4 linked regions of the Astyanax mexicanus genome follow. The protein of the gene in region 1 interacts with the protein of each later gene in a pairwise test. Links are inferred from orthologs where the notes say so. Each region holds a gene or a part of one and is shown in the gene's direction. Other genes may lie near its edges.

The links.
Region 2: the proteins of arl6ip1 (region 1) and shmt2 interact in binary tests that used the Homo sapiens proteins (3 or more experiments, as listed by UniProt). The two-hybrid records come from large-scale screens. The link is inferred for Astyanax mexicanus from reciprocal best matches to the Homo sapiens genes ARL6IP1 and SHMT2.
Region 3: the proteins of arl6ip1 (region 1) and gad2 interact in binary tests that used the Homo sapiens proteins (3 or more experiments, as listed by UniProt). The two-hybrid records come from large-scale screens. The link is inferred for Astyanax mexicanus from reciprocal best matches to the Homo sapiens genes ARL6IP1 and GAD2.
Region 4: the proteins of arl6ip1 (region 1) and inpp5ka interact in binary tests that used the Homo sapiens proteins (3 or more experiments, as listed by UniProt). The link is inferred for Astyanax mexicanus from reciprocal best matches to the Homo sapiens genes ARL6IP1 and INPP5K.

Annotation. Positions count from the first base shown.
Region 1 is NC_064426.1:19,378,857-19,385,873, reverse strand, and holds the start of arl6ip1 (ADP-ribosylation factor-like protein 6-interacting protein 1), read left to right. Parts: upstream 1-4,016; 5' UTR 4,017-4,123; coding exon 4,124-4,168; intron 4,169-6,779; coding exon 6,780-6,913; intron 6,914-7,017. UniProt on the Homo sapiens protein: Positively regulates SLC1A1/EAAC1-mediated glutamate transport by increasing its affinity for glutamate in a PKC activity-dependent manner.
Region 2 is NC_064412.1:9,782,303-9,789,421, forward strand, and holds the start of shmt2 (serine hydroxymethyltransferase, mitochondrial), read left to right. Parts: upstream 1-4,102; 5' UTR 4,103-4,178; coding exon 4,179-4,211; intron 4,212-7,119. UniProt on the Homo sapiens protein: Catalyzes the cleavage of serine to glycine accompanied with the production of 5,10-methylenetetrahydrofolate, an essential intermediate for purine biosynthesis.
Region 3 is NC_064413.1:51,300,828-51,308,184, reverse strand, and holds the start of gad2 (glutamate decarboxylase 2), read left to right. Parts: upstream 1-4,330; 5' UTR 4,331-4,953; coding exon 4,954-5,023; intron 5,024-5,308; coding exon 5,309-5,371; intron 5,372-5,575; coding exon 5,576-5,725; intron 5,726-6,690; coding exon 6,691-6,924; intron 6,925-7,357. UniProt on the Homo sapiens protein: Catalyzes the production of GABA.
Region 4 is NC_064425.1:30,527,501-30,534,550, reverse strand, and holds the start of inpp5ka (inositol polyphosphate 5-phosphatase Ka), read left to right. Parts: upstream 1-4,021; 5' UTR 4,022-4,443; coding exon 4,444-4,685; intron 4,686-7,035; coding exon 7,036-7,050. UniProt on the Homo sapiens protein: Inositol 5-phosphatase which acts on inositol 1,4,5-trisphosphate, inositol 1,3,4,5-tetrakisphosphate, phosphatidylinositol 4,5-bisphosphate and phosphatidylinositol 3,4,5-trisphosphate.

The DNA of each region.
Region 1 (7,017 bases):
ATGATTTTTGTGTGATTTTGTTGTCAGCACATTCAACTTTGTACAGAACAAAGTATTCAATGAGAATATTTCATTCATTCAGATCTAGGATGTGTTATTTGAGTGTTCCCTTTATTTTTTTGAGCAGTGTATATATATATATATATATAACTAGTCTGCCAAATGTAAACCACACTACAACATTATTACTGTCCTCTTCTCAAAAATTGCTTAAATGTAGTCATGTTTAATCACAGAATATTGTTGTGATTAATAGAAAGGGATTTTAAGACACCAATAATGCAAATATGTGTTTCTAACACTGATTCTTTATTCACATTTTTAAATGCACATTAAAAAGAAGTCTCAAGAAAGAAAGTGCTTAGTCATGATCACATAATTCTGATGTGATTTTCATTATTTGTTTAATTGATTGACACCACTAGTTTTATGATATGCAAGATGTACCTTTTGATGTTATTGGAAGTTTTAAGTTAAACACAAGATTCAAGTTGCTACAGTTGTCATACATTCTTAGGACGTTGCAATAATAAGTAAAACATCTTTTTCCCCTTAGGAATGATATTGGAGGTATTAGGGGTGTCACAATTTTGATATTTCGTCGAAATCGATCGAAATTGTGTCATGGTCTCGAGCCTTGAAGTCAAAAAGAGCATCGACGATCCCTCCCTCTAAGCTACGCGAGCTACGCAAATGGCGCAGCACACTGTAGCCGACGCCGCCGGACATTGTGACTGCTCAAAGAGCAGCCCTTTCTCCAGAGAATGTGGACATTCTCATCTTCTTAAAGAAAAACTTGAAAATATAAAAATAACAGTTGTTTTGTCTAGTCTCAAATATGTTAATAGTTTTGGTACCTTAAGGAGCATCTGTCTCTCAGATAAAGTTAATAATATATCTTTGTTAAAGAAAAAAACTTGTCATTCTCAGGGACTGAAAAAGTCTTAGTCTTATTTTTCATGTTTAACTGTTATAGTAGGATAGAGTTCAGTTTGTAAAGGCTCTAATTGTTCTATTATTTTGTACATGACTGTTCCTGTATTTTTTATTATTTATTTTGTTAAGTTGCACATTTGCTGTTTTAAAAGTGCACACTGCTGCTACCAAAAAAGCCACTACATGGCATTACATATATATCTTAATTAAATTATTTTAATTTGACCATTAGTGCCTAATGTGGTTTATTACAGATCACTTGTATCACTTTGCATCATTTATATCAAGCCCACCTTTTGAAATATTGTAAATTTGATTAATCAAACCAATGGCTGACCATAGACTAATCTAAAACTGGCATAGGCCTCTCTGCTGTACGAAAAAAAAAAGAGAGAATCGCATGAAATCGTGACCATAAAATCGGAAATAAAATCAAATCGAGGATTTAGAGAATCGTGACACCCCTAGGAGGTATGGGTGAATATGAATATAACATGCCTTTTGTGTCTGCAGCATAGTTTTAAATTTAATTTAAACACTGTAAAAATAGATTGTTTAAGATTTACTATGAATAATCACAAACATATTGTTACAAATATAGATTATATGTTCATCTTGACTGTGAAGTACATTTTGTACATTTTATTAGAGGTGTCTTCAACTAAAGATTTTTATAGTCGAATCTGATTCGTCAGATTTTCCCTTTAGTCAACTAATAGTCGAATCATTTTTTTCCCTATAGCACCATAAAAGGGATCCCCATTCTCTTCTGGACTTTTTTTCACTTCAAAGGAAAAAAACTAAAACACAAGTTGGGAAATGTGTTGGCTAACTTTGTTAGACAGGCACTGTGCAAAAAAAGTATACAAAAAAAATTACAAAAAATAAATTATGTAATTTCTATTATTATTAGAAAAATAACAAACGAAAATAAACCCAAAATGTTGACAAAAATATAATCTAACGAATTTCAAAACACAGAAACGAAAAACGTTAAAATGGTATTAATATAAGATGATATAATATAACAGCTGGATCAAACAGTTTAGCGTCAGTCATAAGAAAAGCGCGCGCGGCATAGCGATTAAAAAAAACGTTTTAATAAATAAGGTCCTATCAAGTGAATTAAAATATATGGTATTAAAAGGTATTAAATTCACATATTTATTGTGTTTAATCAAGAGAAATCAGGCAAAATGCGCCGCGACGAGCTGAATTCAGCGCGAGGCTTTAATAATATAAAAACTCAGTTTAGTAAAATAAATTAAGATGAGTGAGGACCTGTAAAGTTAATAAAATATTGTCAAATATAAAGGATAGGTTGAGGTTTTGGGGAGCTGTTTCAGTTATTTTAAACTGAAACTAACTGAAACCGATATTATTCTGCGCACTATTAGATAGCCTTTGATTGTGTTTTAAATGAGTTTTTATTTTATATTAATTATTTTTTATTCATTTTAAATATTTTTAGTATTTTATTGATCAAAGTCTTTTGTATAAGCCTTCATCTCACTGTTTTCATCCTCCGCCTGGTCCTCCTCATCCTCATCACTGACCAGCAGCATAGACATCACTGTGTCTTTATGTCTGGGCACAGTCGGCCCAGCATCCACCACCATGTCACTTTTCTCCAGGGATGATCTGTCAGTGAGACTCTCGGCTAATTCTGCTACCGCTGAACACGCCTCTTCTCTTTGCGCATCAGAGAGAGAGGAGAGCTTCTTAAAGCAAATACACCGGCAGACGCTGACAGCCCTGTAGCGTGTTCAGCTCCGCTCATTTGGATTGTGCAACTGCAGGGGGTGATATATTAATGTGTAAGAAGCCTTTTTGTTAATGCGCACACGTAATTAAAAACAAATAACAGAAATTAGTACGATTTTATTTGACAAAAGGCAATATATTACAAAAAACAAAGACATTTCCTATAACAACTAATGCTTAGCAGCCTTGGGCACCCCCATGCAGTCAGAATAGTACATTCGACTATGAGGTTAATAGTCGAATAGAGGTCCTCCGAATCAAATAATCAAATCAGCGACTATTGCAGGTCACCCCTATTTTATATTTTATATTTATATTCTATTATAACTATTTTATACAGTTTTTTTGTTGTAATTGGAAGTTTAGGCATTTTCAAATATTCATTTAGCTTAACATTTAGCTATTTAATCCTGTCCACAAATTCCCTGCTCATCTTGTCAACTTTGGATAACCCTACTCTGTAAAAAAAAAAAAAAATAATAATAATAATAATAAAATAACCTTTGGTTTCAGTGACATCACAACCTTTAGACTTTTTCTCTATCTTCTTCAAGGGACTAAAGACATTCTGAATTTTCAAAACAGTCAAGATGGTGTTTTAATTTGCCTGTCTTACCATCAAAGTTCTCTTAAAGGTGTTCTAGATCTTATACACAGCACTAAAATCTTGTATCACCAGCTGAATATGATATGCCTTCTTTGTCTCTTTAAATATTGTTTAATTATTAAATTGTCATTATTTTTAAGTACTGTCATTTCTTTATTTTGGGGTGCTAGTCATTTTGAGAAAAAATATTATTTTGAGATGATTTCCCTAAAATATCAGGAAAGTAAGTAAATATTTTGAAAATAAAAACATTATTTTGAGATGATTTCCCTAAAATAACAAGTCAAAATAAGGTGAGTTCCCTAAAATATCAAGAAAGTAACTTATTATTTTGAGAAAAAATACATTTGTAAATGATTTCCCTAAAATATTAAGAAAGTAAGTCATTATTTTGAGAAAAATATATTTTGATATGATTTTCCTAAAATATCAAGTAGTAATTATTAAAAAAAAAGATAATTCCCCTAAAATATCAAGAAAGTAAGTCATTTTAGAAAAAAATTATTATTTTGAGATGATTTCCCTAAAATATCAAGAAAGAAAGTTTGAAACACTTCTCTATATTTTGACATGCATTAGTTATGCTTTTGGAATGTCGTGTGTAACAACGTAACCATTTCGGTTTTTGAATTAATTATAAAAAACTTTTATTCTTTCTTTATCTTTTGTATTTGAAAACCACATTTCCCATGAAGCTTTGCGCTCGAGTTTGAGATAAAAACATCCTGCTTGTAACCGTTAGCTGCCAGTGAGCTGCGCATTTCTCCAGTGAGGCGGTTACTTCTGCTAGCCCGGTGAATTCACAAACACACACACATGGACACCATGGCAGAGGGCGACAATAAAAGCTCTAATCAGCTGGTAGGTGTTCCGGTTTATTTACTCTACAGTGTGGAAACGAGTATAAAGGGAAAAAACTAACTAATTAGCCGGTTAGCTTAGCGCGGACTGTTTACAGCGGGGAGGGCTAGCCGCTCGTATAGCTAACTCCAGCTAGCTGCGCTAGTCCTGTCACTTTGATAGCCAGCGAGCTAGCTTAGGTTAGCCAAGCAGCAAGCTAACTTAGCTGGCTAAATTACTGATGTAAAATATATAGTAGTTTAAGTGTGTTCTCCTGTTTTATTATTAGCTTAGTTTAGCTTAGAATTATTGAGGTTACTAGGTTAGCTAACTGTAAATTAGCTAGCGTTCGCTGGTTAATGTTATAGTGAGCACGGATGCTGGAGAATTTGAGAGAAAAGCTAAAGAGAAGAAGACTTTTTAATCCAAATAACTGATAATGGTCTGATATGTTTGCTATATACAGGATATTTGATATGAAAAATACAATTATTCCTGCCTGCTGTTAAAAGCTATAGTCAAGCTTTATTAGCCAGTTAGTCAACTAGCTAACTAGCTAGTTAGGTTAGGTGTGTCCCCACTTCCCCTATTATTGCTCAGTGAACACATGAACCAAACCCTTGTTCCGTGATAAGATAATAGCCATATAACGCTAGCTCAGCTATGTCGACCACAAATGTACATTTAGCGAGTAACGAGGAATTAGAGTTATTAGCTAGTTAACGCTAGCTACGACGCGTTTTAAACTGACACCACCTCTATCAGTTGACATTTCATTTCCACCTTAAATGTAGCTGCAGTTAACTAGATGCTCAAGCCTCTACAAGCGCCTCAATAAAAGTACTGCATAATTTAAGGTGGAACGGGACATTTAAGTATATCTAAAGCTGCGTAGTCTTTAATTTGGGAGTAGTTTCCTACACGAATCTCACTTTATTGTCGGGTTATAGTGAATCACAATTATCTAATATAGTTAGCTAGCAGCCTTACTGTTAAACATATACAATTTTACAGAGCTGTAGGTTAAATAACCTACAGCTGAGTCAAAGAAATAGCTAGTTAGCCAGCAAGCTATAAGAGGTCTGTTTTTTTAGGCCTCATTCTAAAGCAAGTTTAAGTACAAGATAATCTAAGTAGGTATAAATCAGTAATGATTTAAGTTTTAGACTAATTATTTCATGACCTATATAGTAGCTATCTTGGGCTTAGGGCGGGACTGGGCATCCAGGCTCTGTTTGGCACAGGCCTAGCTTCTGCAGTATGTACCTGAAGTCTGGACCAGATATTGCCTGTATTGATGTATCGTGATTTTTTTATGTGGATGATTTACACTGTTATTTTTTTTGCTTATGGTGTTCTTGCCAATTGATAAATAATAGAACGTTGTAAAATGTTTTCTGCTTAATTTTAACATGCTATTTAAAAATCATTAAAAAACAATGGAATCAAGCCATAGCCCTATCCGGATGGGATTAGTTTCTCAGGGGGACGTTTGTGAAAAATATTTCACACTTTTATTCAGTGATAAAACTCTTGCATCCGGACTGCTATTGAAAAACAGGAGGACCAGTGAGTTTTTTTTGTCTTTTTCGGTCACATTACATTGTGATCAGTAGCTCCTCAATTTCCACTCGCTGTTGTGTTTTTACATGGCTGTCCATTGAAACATGCACCTAAAGTGTAATCCAGTTTGTTGCAGTGGACAAATAGCTATTTTATTAAACGCGAGGTGAAGAAATTCAGAAATGGCGTCCAGACAGAAATAAAATTAACAGACAACCACAGAGTTCAGCGAAAAACAGTAGGTAGTTCAGCCTGTAAGTTTTTCAAAGGATGTCTGACAAAAACACATACATGGTCGTTCTGGACGGGATTATAATCACAGAGGACCCCCATAAATGAGAAAATGACCCCAGGACCCCATGAGAAACTAATCACGTCTGGAGAGGGCTCATATCAGCCTTGTAAGACCAAAGAATTTTGTGATATCATAGCACCACGGAAACATTTATTTGTTAGCCTTATTAATTTTGATATTATAGAAATGATTCATCCCACCTCACTTGTGACTCCTGTGATTTTAAGACAGAGCTAGTGAGTGACAGTGAGGGTGTAATACAAAGATCCTGATTGGCTGTCTTTGTGCTTATTAGTGTTAGTATTGGTGTTTTCTGTTGACAGGATTTACACTCAATCTCTCTCTTTCATAGTGCAGTAGTTCATTTGCAGAGTGGGATGTATGCTAGTAAAAATATTATTTTATTATTATTATTTACCCAGTTTAAATTAGGTTATATGGCACTTTACTGACATTACATTCATCTACGGCTGTATCTGAAGATATTCAGGTTAAAATACATGTATTCAAGCTTTCAGTGACCTGAAAGGATATGCTACATTCTACTGTGTGTTGTTGCAATCATGGCACTGGGCACTGCCCATCCATGGAACAGGACAGAATGTTTTTGGGGATGTAATGCCTGTTATTTATCCCTATTTTACATGCTATACCTAAAAAACAGTACTGTCATATGGCATCACTACCTGCATAAGACAGATCGTGCTCATCCCTCCTATGTGAACAGACTGTTTTCTGTTCTGTTGTTGACTGTAAATGTTGTATGTAATATAGGCCCAGGAGACTGCGCAACTCGAGGAGCAGCTTCAAGGATGGGGGGAGGTCATTTTGGCCGGGGACCAGTTCCTGCGGTGGGAGAAGCCATGGTTCCCCGGTGTGCTGATGGGTGCCACCACAGTGCTTTTCATGTGAGTTAACAGATAAGACACAGTTCACACTGCCAACTCCACCACGCCCACACACTGCAATTAGAATGTGTTGTATAGGCCTCTAGGTTTTTGAACAGAATTAT
Region 2 (7,119 bases), on another chromosome or scaffold:
ATGCTGCAGTCAGTTTGAAAAGGGATGGTGGCTGGCTTCACATGTATCAGAGGAGGCATGTGCTGGTCTTCACCCTCCTAGTGTTAAGCGCATTAATAGTGATAGGGGGATACCTTGAGAGTGGTCTGGGTATTGGCCTTCTAAATTGGGGAAAAATAATAATAATTTTAAAAACATAAAAACTGCCCTCTATAATTTTGTTTGCAATAGTTCTTTATGAAACTAAAATGGTTCTTCTAGGGCCATCAAATCTGTACTTTAAATCCAGTAATCATTCTTGAATTTTGAAACCTGGAAATTAAAGAGGTAAAGTCATCTTTGTAGTATCTTCATTTTAAATGTGTATAGCAGATCACCACTGTCATTTAAAAACCTCTGGATTAAATCTTCAAAATGCTAACTTTACAGAAGAAAAAAAACCTTCTTAACTTTTAATGGAAGAATTTTTATTATATCATTATATCTAAACTACAAAATGAAATTCTATCAAAAATCATTAAATGCTGAATACAGAGATAGTATTTGTTTTGCACAATAGTAAAAACATACACTCAGAACATATGACGATATGAGTTTTCAGGTATATCCATTATCTTTAGCTACTTATAAACTCCTCCCAACAGAACAGGAGTTGTGGCCCAGATGTTACTCTGTTTTAGAGAGATTATGCGATATTTATGGTTGTTATTTATGGAGGGCATTCTCTATTCTATGTGTTTTCCTAGACAATGCTGTGAAGAATTACAGGTTTAGTGTTTTACAAACTCTTGTTTGTTATTTTGGATCCTCCTCCTGTTATTCTAAATTGTAGAGCATGCTCTTGGATTACAGCCCTTGGTTTACAACAGTATTACCTTAGATGTTTCTGAAGGTTGCATCCAAGTGACGAAGTGGCATTAGGATAAATCGGGGGGTGAATAAAGCTGCTAAACTATGTATTTGGATTTGTATATGCATATGCCATATACCTAGTAGGTAACCAGTGAAAAGTAATGTATGTAAAGAAAGAAATTAACTCTATGATTACCTCTATATATATAATGTAATGAAGGAACCAGATCAATTTAGCTTAAGTATTAAAAGTAATTATCACATATGTATGCTGGCCTAAAGATGCAAAACTAAATGGATGTTGATGAGTTGCTGACGCTGGACTCAAGACACGGTCACGTCTCATCTACGTATTTATTTTATTCTCTTTTGTTTGCGCGGTAAAGCACCAAAAATCAAATTTTGTTCATTTCTGGACAACCGATCAGTCTGTGAAACTAAGAGGCTATCTGGATCAGGACTGAAATTGCAGGTCTGTGAATAAAGTATTGCTTGATAATGTGTATATTTGACATTGGAAAAATTATTGTGTGTAAATAATGTATCTGAAATAAATTATTAAATCTGGTCAGATTGGTGTCATGTAATTTGTGGATGTTCACAGTGAAGATTATGATCTATTGAAAAGCCTACATTAATTATTAAAAGTGTGTTTTCTGGCTGCCTTACTAGATTACAGAGAAAGTCATTTTGTGTGTGTGTGTGTGTGTGTGTGTGTGTGCAGGTGTACAGTAATGCTGATTAAATGTTAACGTTGCAGGCAGAGCTCATTCCTGACAGATAAACTGCAACTCTCAGTATCTACTGCATTAATGGCTGAATATGTAATTCTTGGTATTTGCCCCATTTTTTATTAAGTGACTACTTTTATTCTGTGTAAAAAGCCTGACTGCATAGAACACAATGGCCTACTGAACCACTGACACAAGCAATTTGGGAATCCCTGATGTAGAACTGATATTAATTAAGAACTCTATACTCTATATCCTTAACTGCACCACGGAGCGTATTACTTTCTCTTTGACTCTATATGAGTCTATATGAATTGGATTATTCTTTATATCAGGGCCATTATTATCTTATTATGTTATAACATTATAACACATGGGGCAAAATAAATAATTGAGGGGGCTCAACTATATTCACCCAGTGAAAGGGCTTGTGATATAAAATTTATATATGTATTTATTAATATTGTCGCAATACAGCTTTACAGAAATGTGGTTTCAGGACAAAGAATCAAACAAAACAATGAACATACAATATATAACCCCCAGTGAGTGACAGGGCCAAGGGAAAGCTCCCTCATGTACTGACAGGGCTAATTTATACAGTAGTATGAAAAGGTTTGGGAACCCCTGATAATTTAATGATTTTCTTTTATAAATCATTGGTTGTTCAGATCAAACAAAATTAGGCAGGTGCATAAATTTGGTGACCGCCAACAGGAAAATTACATCAATATTTAGTAAATTCTCTTTTTGCAGAAATAGCAGCCTCCAAATGCTTCCTATAGCTTCTAATGAGAGTCTGGTTTCTGGTTGAAGGTGTTTTGGATCATTCTTCTTTACAAAACATCTCCAGTTTAGTCAGGTTTGATGGTTTCTAAGCATGAACAGCCCGCATTAAATCACACCACAGATTTTCAATAATATTCAGGTCTGGGGACTGAGATGATCTGAGATGATCATTCTAGAACGTTGTATTTGTTCCTCTGCATGAAAGCTTTAGTAGATTTTGAGCAGTGTTTAGGGTCATTGTCATGTTGAAGTATCCAGCCCCAGCGCAACTTACGCTTCACTCCTCCACAAAAATCCACCTCACTATTTTAAGTCTTAAGATTAAGAACTAAAACATTTTTGTTTGGTTTTAAAATTACCAATGTGTTCATTAGATTTTGTTTTTTACTTTTTTAATCTACAAGTTGTCTGTTACCTCTTTTTAAATTTGAATTTGAATGAATAAACCAAAATTGCAAAAGCACATTTTTTTGTTTCTTCTTCAGTACAGCCATGATATTGTACATGACTTGCGGGCATCAGGGAGCCACTTTGATAATTGGAAGAGATTTGAGATGAAATGCCATCACGGGAGAAGAAAGATGTCTGGATCACTGTCAACAGGTAAACTATTACTGATGCCATCGATTTTCAGCAGGGGGATTTTAGAATTCAGAGTTTAGGGGTGAAGAGCATTTTATATATATATATATATATATATATATATATATATATACATGTATATATATATATATATATATATATATATATATGTATATATATATATATATATATATATATATATACATATATATATATATATATATACATATGTATATATATATATATACATATATATATATACATATGTATATATATATATATATACATATGTATATATATATATATATACATGTATATATATATACATGTATATATATATATATATATATATATATATATATATATATACATATATGTATATATGTATATATATATATATATATATATATATATATATATATATATATATATATATATATGTATATATATATATGAATGAAATTCTTGCCAATGTCCATAAATATGTGCTTCTATAATGTATATATAGAGATTTTATTGTAAACGTGGCTTCAATCTATTTTTTTACTTTTTGAAGCCAGACAGCAAAGACAAACAAACTAAATAGGTTTAAACTCACTTCTGCATGGTAACATTTGCTTAAATGGTGATTCATTGCTTATTGTTCATTACTCAAAATATTTTTATTGATGTTTATTGTTGTCTTGCTGTATTAGCCATTACCTAATAAAGCAGTAGAAATTATACACTACCTGATAGTACAAAGTAAAATAAGTACAGTATACAGAAAAATTTCCTTACTTTATATATTTCCACAGGATTTTCTATTTTAAATGTTTCTTCTTCAGAATAGCAATAAGGTTTATACTGCAAAAAGGGAAATTTCTGAAGAATATCCCATATTTCCTTTTATACAGAATTAGTATTCCAGTTGACATTTCAATGTTAAATCAACATTGAATCAACATTGATGTTATGGTTGAATCATGGTTGAACTTAACCATAGCTCACAAAAACACAACAGTAAAATAAATAGAACCTCCAGGAATGCTGATGAATTTATGCCAAATTAAAAAGCAATTACAGCAAATTGCGTCTTTTAGCAGCATTATGGGTTTGTAGGCCAATTTCTACAAAAAAACTACAATTCCCATGAACACCCTGCGCACGTTGCTCTAGACTACCGCTGGCTTGTGGGACCAACGTGTGCAGGCAGAGCCTCGAGACGCCGCTCGCTCGTTCACTCACTCACTCAGCGCTGCCGTGATGTTGACACTGACACTGAGACAGCTCGCCCGGGTGAGTATAAAGCTCGGTTCTCCTATTAAAGGACATTAATAACGCACACAGACACAGCTGCGGGGTATTTTTGGAGCAGTATGTAGTAGCTAGTTGGCTCGTGCGCTGGTTTGGGTTGTAGCACCAAACAAACGGTAGCGTTAACGGTTGGCTAACGCTAGCTGGGCTTTAATGTGTAGCTCAGCTAACCTAACCCTAGCTATGTTTGTCACTGGAGTGCACTGGTAGGTGTTTTCACACTATTTATTTCAAACAAGACGGCAAATAAAGTGAATTTAGCGAAGCTTAGATAGTTAACGCTATCTAAAATAGCTTCCTATCTAGTGCTAATGTTATTTTGTGAACGTGGTAGCCAGTTTAGCTAGCTAGCATGCATGCTAACTGTCCAAAGCATGTAAAAAAATGTTTTTTCTTAAATGTCTATATTTTTGGATAAAACACTATTATTGTCACAGTTTTAATTGTGACAAAAATCTGATGTTTCAAACCTTAAAACTTAGCAAGCCTAAGCTAAGGTATGCATTTTACCTTTTAAACTCGCTGTAAAGTTATCCTGAATAAACTGACACTATCATTTCTTATCTAACTAGCTAGCAACCATATAGCAACACCATTATTGCCACAGTTTAACTTTGTTAAATGTGCTGAGTGACAAGAAGCTAATGTTTCAAACCTTATAACTTGGCTAACCTTATGCAGTTTACCTTTTAAACTCGCTGTAAAGTTATCCTGAATAAACTGATACTATCATTTCTTATCTAACTAGCTATTAACTATATAGCAACACCAGTATTGCCACAGTTTAACTGTATTAAATGTGCCAAATGACAAGAAGCTGATGTTTCAAACCTTTAACTTACCTAACCTAAGCTAAGTTATGCATTTTACATTTTAATCTAACCTAACTTGCTAGTAAATTATCCTGAGTAAACTGACACTAACATTTCTTATTTAACTAGCTAGCTAACTAACTATACAGCAGCCCAGTAGTTTTGTGTGTATGGTATGGTGCTGCATGTGAAGTTGAAGAAGTGAACTGAAGTGAAGCGATGATGCAATCATGCAGCCTGTCTTTCATCAGAACTTGTGGAGCTACCTCTGCACTGGACAGCCTGCAGGCTTCACCTACTTTCCCCTGATCTCCTTCACTCACCCAGGCCCCTGTCCACTTGAGGGGAAGTGATGTGTTAGAGTGTGAAGGCCCTGCAGAATCTGCAGCTTTATTGCAGTACAAACACTGCAAACAATATTCAGAATGTATCTTTAGGTCTGTCATGATTACTATTATTATGTGATTTTTTTGGACAATATGTTGTACCATAAGTAAATGCAACAAATGATATTGTCAGCTAAGATCGTTTTATGTAGTTGGAATAATGTAATAGCATAATAATGCAATTATGCCTTTCTAGTGCTAGACAATATATAGATATTTTAATCTAATATATATTTTATTTGCTTTCAGCATTGATCTAGGACAGTTACTGTTAGTATGTGGTTTTATTTTGGTACAAGGGACGCAGTACAAGTGCTTTATATCTAAAAAGTGACTTGAGTAGAAGTAGAGATGTTCTTTAAACACCACACTTAAATAGAAGTACTAAAGTATTAAAAAAAAACTCAAGTATTGCAGTAAGTAGTTTATTGTAAAATGTAGTACTAAACTGCTGAAGGTAAAAGTATTCTACAGTGTTATGTAGTTATTACAGAAAGCAGTGGAACTTTCTCAGAACAAAAGGCAGAAGGCAGAACGCTGCTGCATAACATCCAATTTTTAAGTACTATTATTATTTAATTACTATTAAAATTAAATAACTGTATTGTGATACTAATCTGCATATACAACAATTTATTGCCAGTAAGCAGCCCTAATGTTTTCTTACTCTGCCCATGTGTGTAATTTAAATATAAGATTATAATTTTACTACTGTTGTGTCATGGAATGAAATCATTAGCTTTTTTTAGACACAACTTTTTGTGTAGACTTAATTGGGTAATTGGGTGGTTAAAATATAAAGATAGCGCCTAAATGAAAATGTGTGTTGATGTTTTCTAAGATCATTACACAGTATACTACTTTTCCTGTTGCTGAATGAATGAACAGCATCATCCTGTTCTTAGTGGTTTGCACTAGAAATTCAAATTTGCCAAGTCCATACTGCCAGCTTTGCTAGTCTGAACTAGGTTTACTTTGTATTGACAATCCCCTTCTTTATTGGCTGGAAGGGGTGTGCTAGATTTAGGTTAAAACCTGCAGAAAGGAAGCTTTTCAGGTGGAGGGTTGGAGACCATTGACAATAACAAAGAAAGCCCTGTTCTAAGATCTAAGAACATGTCAAAAATGTTTACAGCTGTGCTGAACCAGACTTTAAAGCTGCACATGCCTCTTAACCATACTACTACGATAAGAGTCATACGGCAAGAGTCCTACCTAAATGATTCAGATGTCTCGAATGCCCCAAATGTTAATATAATAAAGTTAATATACTAATTGTTATGCCTTATGCCTGAGACCAGTGAACAGTTTACTGTGTTCTTTAAAATGTATTTTAAAGACACTTTGTGCAGACATTTTTTAGAGTTTGTTTTTGAGCATCTTAGTCTGTTTGTGTAAAAACTGCAAACAATAACTTTGCTATAACATAAAAAGAGAGAGCTTAAAGCTATTAGTGAGGAGAGGAAAATAAATAGTAGACATTTAGTAGAACTATGGATTTCCTAGCCCTGTTTACAAAAGGAGTGTAAGAAAATGCCAATACATCAAAGTGTTGTGATAGTATGTTTTGCAATACTGCATTCATTTTTAAAAACACGATTTTTAGTTAGGAGTTTAGATGTTATGGTTGGTGTGAGGCACAGGTTCAGTATGTGTTGTGTTTAAACCCTAACCTATAGGTAGCAGTGTTGT
Region 3 (7,357 bases), on another chromosome or scaffold:
CATTTATGCACTTCCATCACCCCTAAAAAACAAGATGATATTATCTTATAATCAAGTCATAGCAATGATATAACTTCCTGAAGGAAATGTATGATGGATGTATGATGGACCCCGATCGCTAAGATCATTACGGTATTGTTAGGTGGTTGTTATTCTATCCCAGGTGGTTGCTTTGTTGTTACTAACTGGTTGCTAAAGTGATGCAGAAGTCTTTTTTGTGTGGTGGTTGCTATGGTGTTCTTTTAGATTTTCTGCCCTGGGGCTTTTAATTTGAAACCAAAAATGGATAAATAGCCTATCGGCTAACTATTGAATTTGTTGTGATTGTACTGGATCTTTTTTGGAGTTACTGCTTTTTCTTTATTTGTGAGAGAGAAAGAGGCCATGTCTCCACTGTTTTACTCCCAGTATCCCATAATTCACAGTGACAGGGCAATAACTTGGGATTTGATCTGACAAAAAGACAACGCAAGACCCTAAAACACAGTGGCTCTCAAGTGGAGTGGGAGTGTGTTTGAGGATAGAGAGTCAAACATACAGATTTATACAAAGAAGGTTATGGTTAAATTGTTGTGTTACTGTGAATAATCAAAATATATAAGATAAGAAAGATAAAATGTATTATTTCCACATTTTACACAAAATGAATGTACAATTGTTACATTTTTGGTAAACAAAAAAAAATCTCTCAGAACATTACAATAACTGATGTGGTGCACTACTAGGGCCAGATAAAATCTTTTTTTTAGCAAATTTGGTGATTTAATTTTCTGTTTTTTTCATCACATTTAGGATTTTTACTATTTGAATAGTGTTGTCAGGCAATTAAAATAATGAATCCAAGTACTGTGGTTGCTAAGGTGTTGCTACATTGATGCAAAGGAGTTGCTATGGTATCTGTGGTGATTTCTAGGGTGCTGTTAGGTGGTTGCTATGTGGTTGCTACATGGTTGCTAAGTGGTTGGTAGGTGTTTTGCTATGGTGCTATGGTGCTATGGTGCTAAGGAGTTGCTATGGTATCTGTGATGATTTCCAGGGTGCTGTTAGGTGATTCCTAGGTGGTTGCTACATGGTTACTAAGTGGTTGGTAGTCTTGCTATGGTGTTGATAAGTGTCCATGGTGATTGCTGTGGTGTTGCTAGGTGATTGCCAAGGTGTTGTTAAGTGGTGGATGATGAATGCATAGCTAACATGGCTCATATGATCGTTAAGATTGTTAAGGTGTTGTAAGGTGGTTGCTGTGGTATCCCCAGTGGTTGATATGTTGTTGCTAACTGGTTGCTAAGGTAATGTAATGAAATTTGTGATGGTTGCTATGAGGTTGCTAAATGGTTGTTAGGTGGCTGTTAAGGAGTTGCTATGGTATCAGTGGTGATTGCTACGGTGTTGCTAGGAGGTTGCTAGGGTGTTGATTAGTGGTTGCTACATGGTTGCTAAAGACTTGCTTTGGTATCTGTGGTGATTGCTAGGGTGCTGTTAGGTGGCTGCTATATGGTTGCTGGTTAAATTGTTGTTTTACTGTGAATAATAATTTTTTATAGAAGATTTTCCACAAGATTATTGTATAATTGTTCATTTATTGTAAAATTTTAGAGCTAAAAAAAGAAAATAAAGGAGCAGAATGCAAAGCTTTGGGCACATGAGAGATTTGAGCTCTCAGGCTACTTTTACTGAAAGGCTTAATTAGCTGGCTAGGGCTGTGGCTTGTTCACAGGTGATGTCAATTACAACAATCAGCAGCCATGAGCTCCTCTAAGTAGCTGCAACTCTCCAGCACTAAGAACATACCCTATAAGGCTAAGAACAAATTCTTGGCTATTCCTAAGAGCTTGGGTTTGGAATGGTTTTAAGGGTGCATTAAAAAAAGGACGCAGCTGATGTATCCTTTCTTGCAGCCTTTGGTTATGCACAGTTCTCCGCACATATGCACTGCAATGCAAAGGGAAAAATGGCTGTTCTGTGTGTGTACTGTGTGGCTCTGACACACAGCCTAGCAAAGCTATTTTTAAGTAGTCGTTTCCTAAGTTTTAAGTTAAGGCCTGGAGGAAGACTTCAGGAAGATTGATCAGGCTCTGGACTATGATCACCAAAATGTCATAAAAAAAAAGGCTTTACTGTGTCTTCATCACTACAAAGTTCAGCACCTGAGGTTCTTAAAGGAGCATCTAAACAAGCCTGATGAATTTTGGAAGCAACTGGAAGAAGGTAAAACATCTAACTTTTAACATTCTGCAAAACATGGGTGCAAAAAGTGTGTTCTAACAAAGCTTTTATGTAAAAAAAATAAAAACAGTTATGTTTCATGTTACTTACCAATAATGTTAAATGTTACATATTAAATTTACAATATCCATGCCTGGAAATATCGTAATAATATCGTAATACAATTTAAAATACCCCTAAAATAGATCATACCTTGTTATCTCTTGCTTCACTAATATTTTTAGTCACCTGGCTTGCTTCTTCATTAACATTGTAACTGTCACTAAATAAAAGTAGATGCTACCTAGCTTTTTTACATATACTTGCTAATTGCCATCAGTAAATTTACAATTCCACTTTAAATACTGCTGTCCTGACAGACAAGCTTTTGGCTTGTAGGCACTTTGAAATAAACATCTTTGGCTTTTAAGGTGGAACAGATCATGCAAATAAGAATCCAGGTTTAGGTTTATATGGACTGTTTGTCATTTCTGCACATAATGTAAGCAGAAATGTATAAAAAAAGTCTTAAAGTATATAAAACATATACTACAGGTCAATATCATGCATGCACCATTTTAAGGTGGAAGGGAAATATATTTTAAGGTGGAAAGGACAATGTGAATAATATATTGAAACTGAGTGTTGCTCCCATATATGAGTACTTCTACAGTTAATTCAGATAACCATGCAGTGAATCTCAATACACTGATGTTTAAACATAACAGTTAATGTTCAGATTCTTTTACATTTTATTATTTAGATTGTTTTGTGTGGGCTATGCCTTTAATGTAGCAATGTACTGTGTAGTGGTATGTGCTTAAAAAGCTGTTGATTTTGCTGTATAATATATATTCTTTAGGACCCCTGACTTTAATAACATTGCATTACATTACATTTAGCGGACTCTTTATCCAAAGCGACTTACAAATAATGATGTACATTTAGCAACAGATGACATAGAAGTTCAATACAAACAAAACATTTTAGGCAGGGCCTAAAGGAGGCCAAATGGAAATAGAGGGGTATAGGAGGAAAGGAGGGAAGGAAGGAAACTGGTTTTCCTTTATATAGTGAAGAAAAACCTGACCCCAATTATCATTATCATATATATCATAAATAGTATATCATGCATATATACAGCTCTGGAAAATAAGAGACCATTTAAAAATGATGAGGTTCTTTGATTTTACCAATTGAAAACCTCTGGAAAATAAAGAGGAAGATGGATGATCACAAGCCATCAAACTTAGCTGAACTGCTTGAATTTTTGCACCAGGAGTGGTATAAAGTTATCTAAAAGCAGTGTAAGACTGGTGAAGGAGAACATGCCACAATGCATTAAAAACGGTGACTAAAAAAACAGGGTTATTCCACCAAATATTGATTTCTGAACTCTTAAAACTTTATGAATATGAGCTTGGTTTTTTTTTGCATTATTTGAGGTCTGAAAGCTCTGCATCTTTTTTTGTTATTTCAGCCATTTCTCATTTTCTGCAAATAAAAGCTCTGAATGATAATATTTTTATTTGTAATTTAGGAGGAATGTTGTTCGTAGATTAGAGAATAAGAGGTCTCTTCATTTTTTTTCCAAAGCTGTATATATACATATATATTGCAATGCACACTCTTAGATGTTGCTCTCCCACCATTTATTTCCTTAAAGGGCTTTTTTTTAGGCTTTCTGCGCATTATTCACGCAGCTGCAGAGAAATACCCGCATATCTGTAGACGCAAAACCAGCAGAGCTCTGCTTTCACCAGCATAACAGAGAGAGAGGATTTGGGTTCCACCCTAACCCTCTACCCCCCAACCCCACCCCCCTACTCAACGCCCCCCATCCAGCCCCCCATCCCACCAACCTACTTGCCTACCCACCCCAAAATTATATACACACACATGCACACATATTTATATATTTATGTACTTTGACCATCTTGAGCTAAAATTGCGCACAGGCGCGAGCTAAGCCGTGCGCCACGAGGGCTCCAGGAGGGGCCAGGAACTGTCACGCACGACTCGGGGACGCAGAGCGGGTCGTCACGAGAAGTGAATCATGCTGGAATTTGTGTGCGTGGGTGTGGGGGGTGGGGGGAGAAGTGGGAGGGTAGGTACGGGGTTCTAACATTAGTGCACCGTTAGTGCGTCCTACTTTTTTCCCTCCACGCACGCTGGATTATGATGCGACCTGCAAAAAAATAAATTAAGCAAAGCCTTAATCCGGCTCGCGGGCGCGCAAACTCGCACTCTCTCCCGCTCTCTCTCTTTCTCCCCACCTCCCCGCACAGCTCGTGCGCGCTCGTGCAAGGGTCTCTCCGGCAGCACCTCTCTGGAAGCATGCAGTGACCGGAGAGCTGCGCAGCTCCACCGTCGCGTGCGCGAGAGGCGGCGGCGTGCATGCGCTGCGTAATAAAAAAGGCAAGGCGAGAAAGGGCGCACCGGTGGCGCGTGTGGACTTTTATTGCGCAGCGCCGGGATTGGGAAAAAGAAAAGCACGCTCACTTCGCTTCTGTGCGTCAGATTTGTTTTGCATGCACGCGCGCTCGCGTACGCAGCTGCGCTTTTTACAGCAGCAACAGCATCAGCAACACCAGCATCCAACATCCAGCGAGGACCTGAGCGGAGCTTCCCGCGCCGTTCCCCCCTTTTCTCCCCTCCTCTCCCCCTTTATTTGTCCTCTTCCCTCCCTCCATCACCCCTGGATGGGCTCGGTTTATCTTTCCTAGCCGCAGACAGCGTCGTTTTCGCGCCATGGCTTCGCACGGCTTTTGGTCTCTGGGCGCCCAGAACGCGGGAGACAACAACAGCGGCTCGAGCACGCGTGAGTACAGCGGAGGCTAATTTTTAGCTAATGATTTATAACAAAAAAATAAAAATATATATAATAAGGATCCAAAACAGGAAGCATAAAGGCTTAAAATGCTTAAAACAGCGCTAAAGCGTTTATTTCGTGTTTTATTCGTTTTTTAAGGTGTTTAAATTGTTTAAAGAGTTTTTAAATACGTCCCTTATTTTTTCGACCAGAAATAACGTTAGTTACTACGTTTCTTACAATCTAAAATTCAGATTTTAATATTTTTGTATCTATTTTTCTCGTTCGCTTTAGCTCGGGCTTGGTGCCAAGCGGCGGCCCAAAAATTCGGAGGAGGCATCGGCTCGAAATTATGTGGTAAGATCATTTATTTATCACCAAAAAGAGGCGCTAATCTTTATTATAAGACTATATAAAATAGTAGTGACATTTTTATTGTGGTTCTTATATATATTTAGTGTATTTATAGGCCTACATCACAAATTTAAATATTTATATATCAAATTGTGAAGAAAAAAAAGTATATAAAATAAAATAATATAATGTAACGTTAATTTGAAGCGCTGCTGAATGTCGGGGAGATGGAGAAGGGCGCAGACCCCTCTGCAGCTAAACAGGGAGAAGACCCTCTGGCGGAGAGCTGCAGCTGCAGTGATAAACCATGCATCTGCTCCAAAGCCACGGTGGGCTTCTCTCACCTCTATTCAACAGGTAAACATTATTCTGGGATGTATTATTATTTTCCTTTTTCTTTTTCGTTTTTTGGATGCAGCCGGATTAGCCAAGCTAACCTACACATCACGCAAGGTCATGGCCATATCTAGCGAAATTATTATTAAGCTTTATGTATAGTGCAACATTTGTCTGTTTTAATGTATATTTATTTGGGGGTTTTATTTTGTATTTATTTCTGTGTTTATGTGTGTATTTATTATTTACTAATTTCCCCGTCATTTTCTGTAAAAAGTGCCTGTTTTTCCTTTGAAAAAAAAAAACAAGAATATATTTATATTTTCTATATATATGTATTTATATATATTCTAAAAAGGAAGTCAACATTATATACACAGAACGTAGCATACATCTTAAAGTACAGTGCATGTGTGTATGTGTGTGCTCTCGCGTGCGTGTCTGTGTGTGTGTGTGTGAATGCGCGCGTGTGTGTGCGTGTCTGCGTGCGTGCGGGTGTGTGTCTAGAAATAGATATGTATTAATAATAATGTATAATAATGTATAAAGCCTACCAACTAAATGCATGCATGTGTGTTTTATTTTTTTTCATTCGCGTTATAATGGGGCTCCTGTTGTTTAAATGTTTCATTTATTTATGCATTTGTTTTATATTTATGTCTTACTGGTAATTATTAATGATTAACGATCATTAATACGTGATTAGATGTACAGTTTAAGAAAGAAAATGATTGTAAATTATATGTTTTTTTTTTTAACTGATATGAGATTTTTTGGGTTTGTTTTTTATAAATCCTGATGATTTGGGATTTTTTGGTAAAGCATTATTCATTTATTTGACTTATTTGATTTATTTAAAACCAAAACTGATTTTGCTAAAACTGAGATTGCCGTTTATCATTAATTCAACACATTTCGCCGATGTTCTTTTCTGATGGTATTTATTATCATATAATAATCGTTATAATAATCTGGGTTCGGTACAGACCTGCTCCCCGCGCTGGACGGCGATATGAAGACGATGAATTTCCTGCAGGAGGTGGTGGATATATTGCTGGCCTACATCGTGGAGTCTTTCGATCGATCCACCAAGGTGATCGATTTCCACTATCCGAACGAGCTGCTCCAGCGGAACAACTGGGAGCTCTCGGACGAACCGGAAACCCTGGATGATATTCTGATCAGCTGCCGAGCCACCTTAAAATACGCCATTAAAACCGGTAGGAGAAATGCTGGAAGCCCTTTTTATATTTTATATACTGTATATATATATATATATATCGTATAGCCTATTTGTAGAATTATTGATTTATATTATTCCTTTCAGAGCTGAATTATGTTCCAGTGATTCATACTAAAATATAGATTATTTGTATTTTTGTTAATTGCAGTGTAATCATTTGTGTAGCATTCTCGTTTGTATTTCATATAAATTTTATTTAGCTTTTTTTTTATTCAAAAATCATCCCAAAGCGGTAAAAAGAACTCAACATGATTATTTGATTTTGTGCAATGCAGTGGGCGGGGCTAAGCTGCTGTTTGATTGGCTGATAAATGTTAATTCTGTTGGACAACAGGCCTCAGTGTGTAATAAGTGCAAAAATACACAAGAAATAAGAAAACCGATTTTCTCAATTGCAATGGACGCAAGGT
Region 4 (7,050 bases), on another chromosome or scaffold:
GATGTGGGGGGTTTTAATGATTCTCTCTGTACCGTGGATAATGGCATTTTACACTTCTCTTATATTTTACATGAAGTTTTTTACTTTACTGTCAATTAAAAATTCCCTGTCTCTCTCTCTCTCTCTCTCTCTCTCTCTCTCTCTCTCTCTCTCTCTCTCTCTCTCTCTCTTGTCTCTCTCTCTCTCTCTCTCTATGTCTGTCTTTATCTCTAAATAATCATACAGTTTCATTGCTTGTAGATTGCTACACAACAGACCTCATCTTTAGACATTAGTTAACTTCCCTCAAACATACATTCATTACATTACATTAATATTACATATAATGCAAAACCTGTGGATGTGTATGCATATAATACATGTGCCACGTGCATAATTTTAATGCATTTTTTGCCAAATGGGAAATCTCATTTCACCCCTAAATGTTTTTGAAAATTGACCCTTTGCATGTCAGAAATTTAGGAAGATTGATAAGTTAAATACATGCTGATTGCTAATTTTGTGAAGACTAGTACTAATTTTACTATATATCAAGCTACATTACAGTATGAAAAGATATAAATATAAATTTGATTGTAATAAAGACTATGGTGATCATTTGTGTGGACCAGATGTTTATTTTTCATTGGTTTATTTTTTCTAATAAGCCAATTTATTTTTTTCTATCCATTTCAATTTTTTGTTAGAATATTCCTGAATACTTTCTATTTGACAGTTGAGGCATCTTAATTTTAGAGTATAATTTTGTATCACTGATAATGATAAAATTACTTTCAATATATGACAAATTTGTTTCATCAACCATGTTACAACCATGACTATGTATTAAGCAACAGTAGCATTCTTAAGTCAAAAATTTTATGTGAAATTAAGAGTTATGTATTTTGGATAAGATTAGTACATTTTGTTAACAAATTAACAGATTATTTGCAATATTTCTGGATCTAAATATTATGAATATTTTGTGTATTGATAAAGTAAACCTAAGAATTGAGAGCAATTAAACTTTTATTTTTAAGTAGTAGCAGTGGTTTATTGTATATAATGCGTAATGTAATATATTTGCTGTTTGGCTTTGTTTTTGGTTTTATAATTCAGTAATTCTGCGTGTGTGTGTGTGTGTGTGTGTTTGACAGGTGTGAAGATGGAGCAGGAGGAGGCCTTGTCCAATGCCCTGAACTCCATCAGTCTGGACCAAAAACTGGACTCATTCAGGTCACCTTTTTTATTTCTGTCTTTCTGTTTGACTGGTTTAGTATTATGCTCAAAACATGGCAGTGTGAGATATACACACACTTTGTGCTCTGCAGCAAAAAAGCTCAGATAAAATCATGTTTTAACACTTTAGATCCTCATTGTGAACAGTACAGCCTTTCACTTTGGACAGAATGAAAAGGCTAGTCTTGTAAGCAAAAAGTAAGATATTAAGTTTCTCACCACATGTCAGGCTGAACCGCTGAATGAATGGTCTTTGTTTGGAAAAGGGGTCACTTGTAAAGCAGCAGTTTTTATCACACTTTATTGTTCTGATTACAGTCAGACCTCAGCTTCAGAGACATTTCCTAACCTCTAAGTTAGCTTCCTGATTTTACAGCTAAATAAACTGATCAGAACTGACAGCATTATTTTTGACTCTAAGAGGCTTTGCTTTTAGCTATGTCCGTTACTTTTAGTTGGCAGAGGATGTGTAAATGTAACAAAAAAGCATTTTTTTAGGACCCTGAGGGGTGATTTATAGGTATGTTTATCTGAGGGGCACTATGCTTAGCTATGTTCACCCAAGGGCCACTATTTTCAGGTATGTTCACCTGAGGGGCACTATTTTAAGGTATGTTTACCTGAGGGGTGCTATTTTTAGGTATGTTCACCTGAGGGGTGCTATTTTTACGTTTGTTTACCTGAGGGGTGCTATTTTCAGCTATGTTCAGCTGTTTTAAGGTATGTTCACCTGAGGGTTGCTATTTTTAAGTATGTTTACCTGAGGGGTGCTATTTTTACGTTTGTTTACCTGAGGGGTGCTATTTTTAGGTATGTTTACCTGAGGGGTGCTATTTTCAGCTATGTTCAGCTGTTTTAAGGTATGTTCACCTGAGGGGCACTATTTTCAGTTACGTTCACCCAAGGGGCACTATTTTTAGCTACGTTCACTAGACCTGTCACGATACAACATTTTCGGGACGATATATTGTCCCAGAAGTTATTGCAATAAACAATAATTTTGTCATTTTAAAGGGACACTATAGAAAATGCTTTTTTCCTGCATCTGGAATCCCAAAGGAGCTTTAAGACAATGTGCCACATAAAATACTAGCTAGCATAATAATACTATTACATTTTACAGTAAAACTATTATTTTTTTTTTTAAGAACAGACGTTGTGCTTCCAATATAAGAAATATTTAAATATGCTAAATAAAAAAGTACAATATATATATAATATATAAAGTAACAACAAATAGATTAAAAACATTTACATTGATTCAACTTTTTTTTTTTTTTTTTTTTTTAACTCTGGACACAAAGGCACTATTTTCAGGTATGATCACCTGAGGGGCTCTATTTTTAGGTATGTTTACCTGAGGGGCTCTATTTTCAGATACATTTACCTGAGTGGCACTATTTTCAGATACATTTACCTGAGGGGCTCTATTTTCAGGTATGTTTACCTGAGGGGCTCTATTTTCAGATACGCTTACCTGAGGGGAGCTATTTTCAGGTATGTTTACCTGAGGGGAGCTATTTTCAGGTATGTTTACCTGAGGGGCTCTATTTTCAGATACGCTTACCTGAGGGGAGCTATTTTCAGATACATTTACCTGAGGGGCTCTATTTTCAGATACGTTTACCTGAGGGGCTCTATTTTCAGATACGTTTACCTGAGGGGCTCTATTTTCAGATACATTTACCTGAGGGGCTCTATTTTCAGATACATTTACCTGAGGGGCTCTATTTTCAGGTATGTTTACCTGAGGGGCTCTATTTTCAGATACATTTACCTGAGGGGCTCTATTTTCAGGTATGTTTACCTGAGGGGCTCTATTTTCAGGTATGTTTACCTGAGGGGCTCTATTTTCAGGTATGTTTACCTGAGGGGCTCTATTTTCAGATACGTTTACCTGAGGGGAGCTATTTTCAGATACGTTTACCTGAGGGGAGCTATTTTCAGGTATGTTTACCTGAGGGGAGCTATTTTCAAGTATGTTTACCTGAGGGGAGCTATTTTCAGGTATGTTTACCTGAGGGGAGCGATTTTCAGATACATTTACCTGAGGGGCTCTATTTTCAGGTATGTTTACCTGAGGGGCTCTATTTTCAGGTATGTTTACCTGAGGGGCTCTATTTTCAGGTATGTTTACCTGAGGGGCTCTATTTTCAGATACATTTACCTGAGGGGAGCTATTTTCAGGTATGTTTACCTGAGGGGAGCTATTTTCAGGTATGTTTACCTGAGGGGAGCTATTTTCACATACGTTTACCTGAGGGGAGCTATTCAGGTATGTTTACCTGAGGGGCTCTATTTTCAGATACATTTACCTGAGGGGAGCTATTTTCAGATACATTTACCTGAGGGGAGCTATTTTCAGGTATGTTTACCTGAGGGGAGCTATTTTCAGGTATGTTTACCTGAGGGGAGCTATTTTCAGGTATGTTTACCTGAGGGGAGCTATTTTCAGGTATGTTTACATGAGGGGAGCTATTTTCAGATATATTTACTTGAGGGGCTCTATTTTCAGATACATTTACATGAGTGGCACTATTTTCAGATACATTTACCCGAGTGGCACTATTTTCAGATATGTTTACCTGAGGGGCACTATTTTTTTTAGCCACATTGCTTGTTGCTAGTGAAAATTGTATTATAGCTATGGGTAAACTGTAGGTGTAACTGCAGAGGTTACATAATCCCAACTTCACACTTGAACCCTATTTTCAGGCAGGTCCGTTTTTGTAAAAAAAAAAAAAAAAAAACTGTTAATATATGCTTGTTTGAAATATTGGTTTGTCAGGGAACAGGAAACACAATCACAAATAAGTGTATGGTTTGCATTGGGAAAGCGCTCTAAATTTAGTCCGAGTGGTAGTAAAAGTCTTAAAACGTTTCATATTTGATCCCCTCTTACCTGCAGACACCCTGAATAGCTTGTGTGCTCACATGGCTCTGATTTGAGTCTACAGTAATTCTTCCCTAAGCCAGTCTGAAGTCCAGCCCACTAGAGCTCATGTACTTTTGCCTTTTCTGAATGAGTGTGAGCTACAAGCTACCACGACACTAAAGCTGAGAAATTCCTCACAGTTTTCTTTCATTGATTTGGCTGAACTTGAGACTTTCTTAACCATCCTTATTTTATACTAATTAAGTGGACAACGGTCTTGTTCATTATCTTAATTTAAAGATTAGTTGAAGATTGAGACTTCTTGAGAATTTGGATTCGGTGGAGACAGTATGGAGGAGATTACAGAGCATTTCAGCACCAAGGCCCGTCCGCGCTCGGACAGCGTGAACAGCACAGGCACTCAGTCCACAGGCAGCCGGATGCTCCTGCGACAGAGGCTTACCATGCTCATGACCTGCATGGATGACCTGAACTCTAAAGACAGAGTTCATGCACAGGTGTCCAAAACCCTGGATGAAGTGTTCGAGATCTGTGGGCAGAAAGCTCAGCAACGCCAGAAGGATCAGTTCAGGTTTTTAAGTTTTAATTGGGTTTATAGGGTTGCCATTGGTTTCACATAGGGTTGCCAAACAATATTATATTCTTGTTGATGTTAAATCGTTTCTGGTTTTAGAAATATAAAATTTTACTAAAATTTTAAACCAGTACTGAATTATGTGTTTCTAGAATACCAGAATAGTTTTTCAGGTAAAGCTGGGCAACGTCTTTACTTATTGTACTGCATTTGCAGCCATAAAATGTAAATTTACATGTAAATGTAAAATAAATGTAATGCAAATCAAGATAGATATAGTCATAAGTGGACTATGGACAAAGAGAGTTCATGCCCAGGTGGCCAAAACCCTGGATGAAGCGTTCGAGATCTGTGGGCAGAAAGCTCTGCAACTCCAAAAGGATCAGTTCAGGTTCAGTATTAACTGTGTTTTACATAGGGTTGCCATATTGGTTTTACATAGGGTTGCAAAACAATTCTCGCATTCTTCATTCTTCTTGATATTCACAGTCACATGCTTCTTGATTTTAACAAAATTCTGAGTTCTGGACAAAAATTTTAAACCAGTATTTGATTGTGTTTGTTGAAAACCAGAATAGTTGTTCAGGTAAACCTGGGCAACGTATTTACTTACTTTACTGCATTTGCAGCCAGACAGAAAATAAATGTAATGCAAATCAAGATCATTGAAGGTCATTCATTGTTTTTTCAGAAATTAAGAGTCTTAAAAATAGAGTTTTTCTGTTTTTGTTGGAATAACTGTCTCTTCTGTCTAGGTAATGCTTTGTAATAGATTTTAGAGCATTGTTGTGTGGATTTGATTGCATTCAGCTATAGACAAATTGGTAAGGTCAGATACTGATTGATATACTGTGGTTCTTGATCACAAACTCACTTTCCCACCCAAATTTATCCCCAAGATATCTGATCTGATGACAAGCTGTTCGTCTGCATTTGAATATCTGTGTCAGCAAACATTATTTTGATTCAGTTTTTAATAGAAACGTCTTGATGCACAACCCCTCCAGTAAAACTTGGGCCTCTTTACAACACAGTACAAATGTAAGAAATATTTATATTGCAGGTCAAAGGTCAATATATCGATAGCACTTAGCACCTAACAAACAATATATTGTGTAGTAGGTGTGTGCAATATGGCCCTAAAGTAATATCACGATATTTCAGGGTATCTTTGTGATACCGATATTTTTGGCGATATGACAAAACACTGAATAAAAAATAATCAATAATACTCAACTGCAAAAAAAATAAATAAAATAAATAATAAATGGTATTGCATACGATATGATATGGCACACCCTTAACTGAGACAAAAAAAAAAAACAAGAATTTTATTGAAACAGACGTTTATGATCCAGAATGTCCTGATATTAATAATGCACTCCATATATTTCCATATCTCCAGGATTAAAGTAAAATAAATGATACTGGACAGATATAATCTGTCTCTAGTAGATATATAATGGGAAATAAAAACAGTGTGAATTTTTCTTTTGCTAAAAATAGCAAAAAACTAGTACCCTGATGTGTTAATTAGGGGTGGGTAATTAAAGCATGATATTTCAGGCTACAATGTCATTCACGATATTCAAAAATGTTGGCAGTATTGTTGCATACAATACGATATGGCATTCTTAACAGTACAAGTGCTCCAATTGGTTATTTTATTGATGGTGTTTAAGAACCAATTTTGTTCATTTTTGTATAAAGAATCTTTTAAAGTTTTTAAGAAATTGATGAAAAGATTCTTCACTAGTTTGGAGGTTACATCACATCACTTTCAAAAAACAGTTCTTCTGTTTTGTCTCTCAATAAAGCCTTTGTAGCTCTGTTATTTTTAGAAGTGCAAGAGAGCGGATGCATTTTCTTGGAAAAGGCCAGGAAGCATTTTCTGGAAGCCTTTTTTTTTCTTGTGATAATAATAGCCATTTTTGTTTGATACTACAGTTCTTTTTTGTGTTCCTGAAGAAAAAGAAAGACCTTTGTTCAGTCATGGGCTCAGTGTATCTGTGTGTTTGTTGATCTGAAGGTCTGAAAAGCAGAGTTCTTAGAGAGAAAAATTTGTACTGTTTTTGTCACACTAGAAATAGCTAAGATGGATTAGACAGGAAGTCTCAGATCCTGATCTGCAGCGTACTTTGCCTGGAATGTGCCAATTTCTTGAAATGGCAATTTGTTAAACACAAGAATTAGGATAAAACATACCAAGGAGGATAAACATGCCATTCACATTACTCACAGCTTAATCAACCCATTCTACTTCTGCTTTGAGTCGTATTAAAGTATTATGTTTAATTTTGCTAAGTTTTATTTATATCTTTTTTTTTTTTTTTTAAACCCCCCACAGGCTCTATATGGTCAC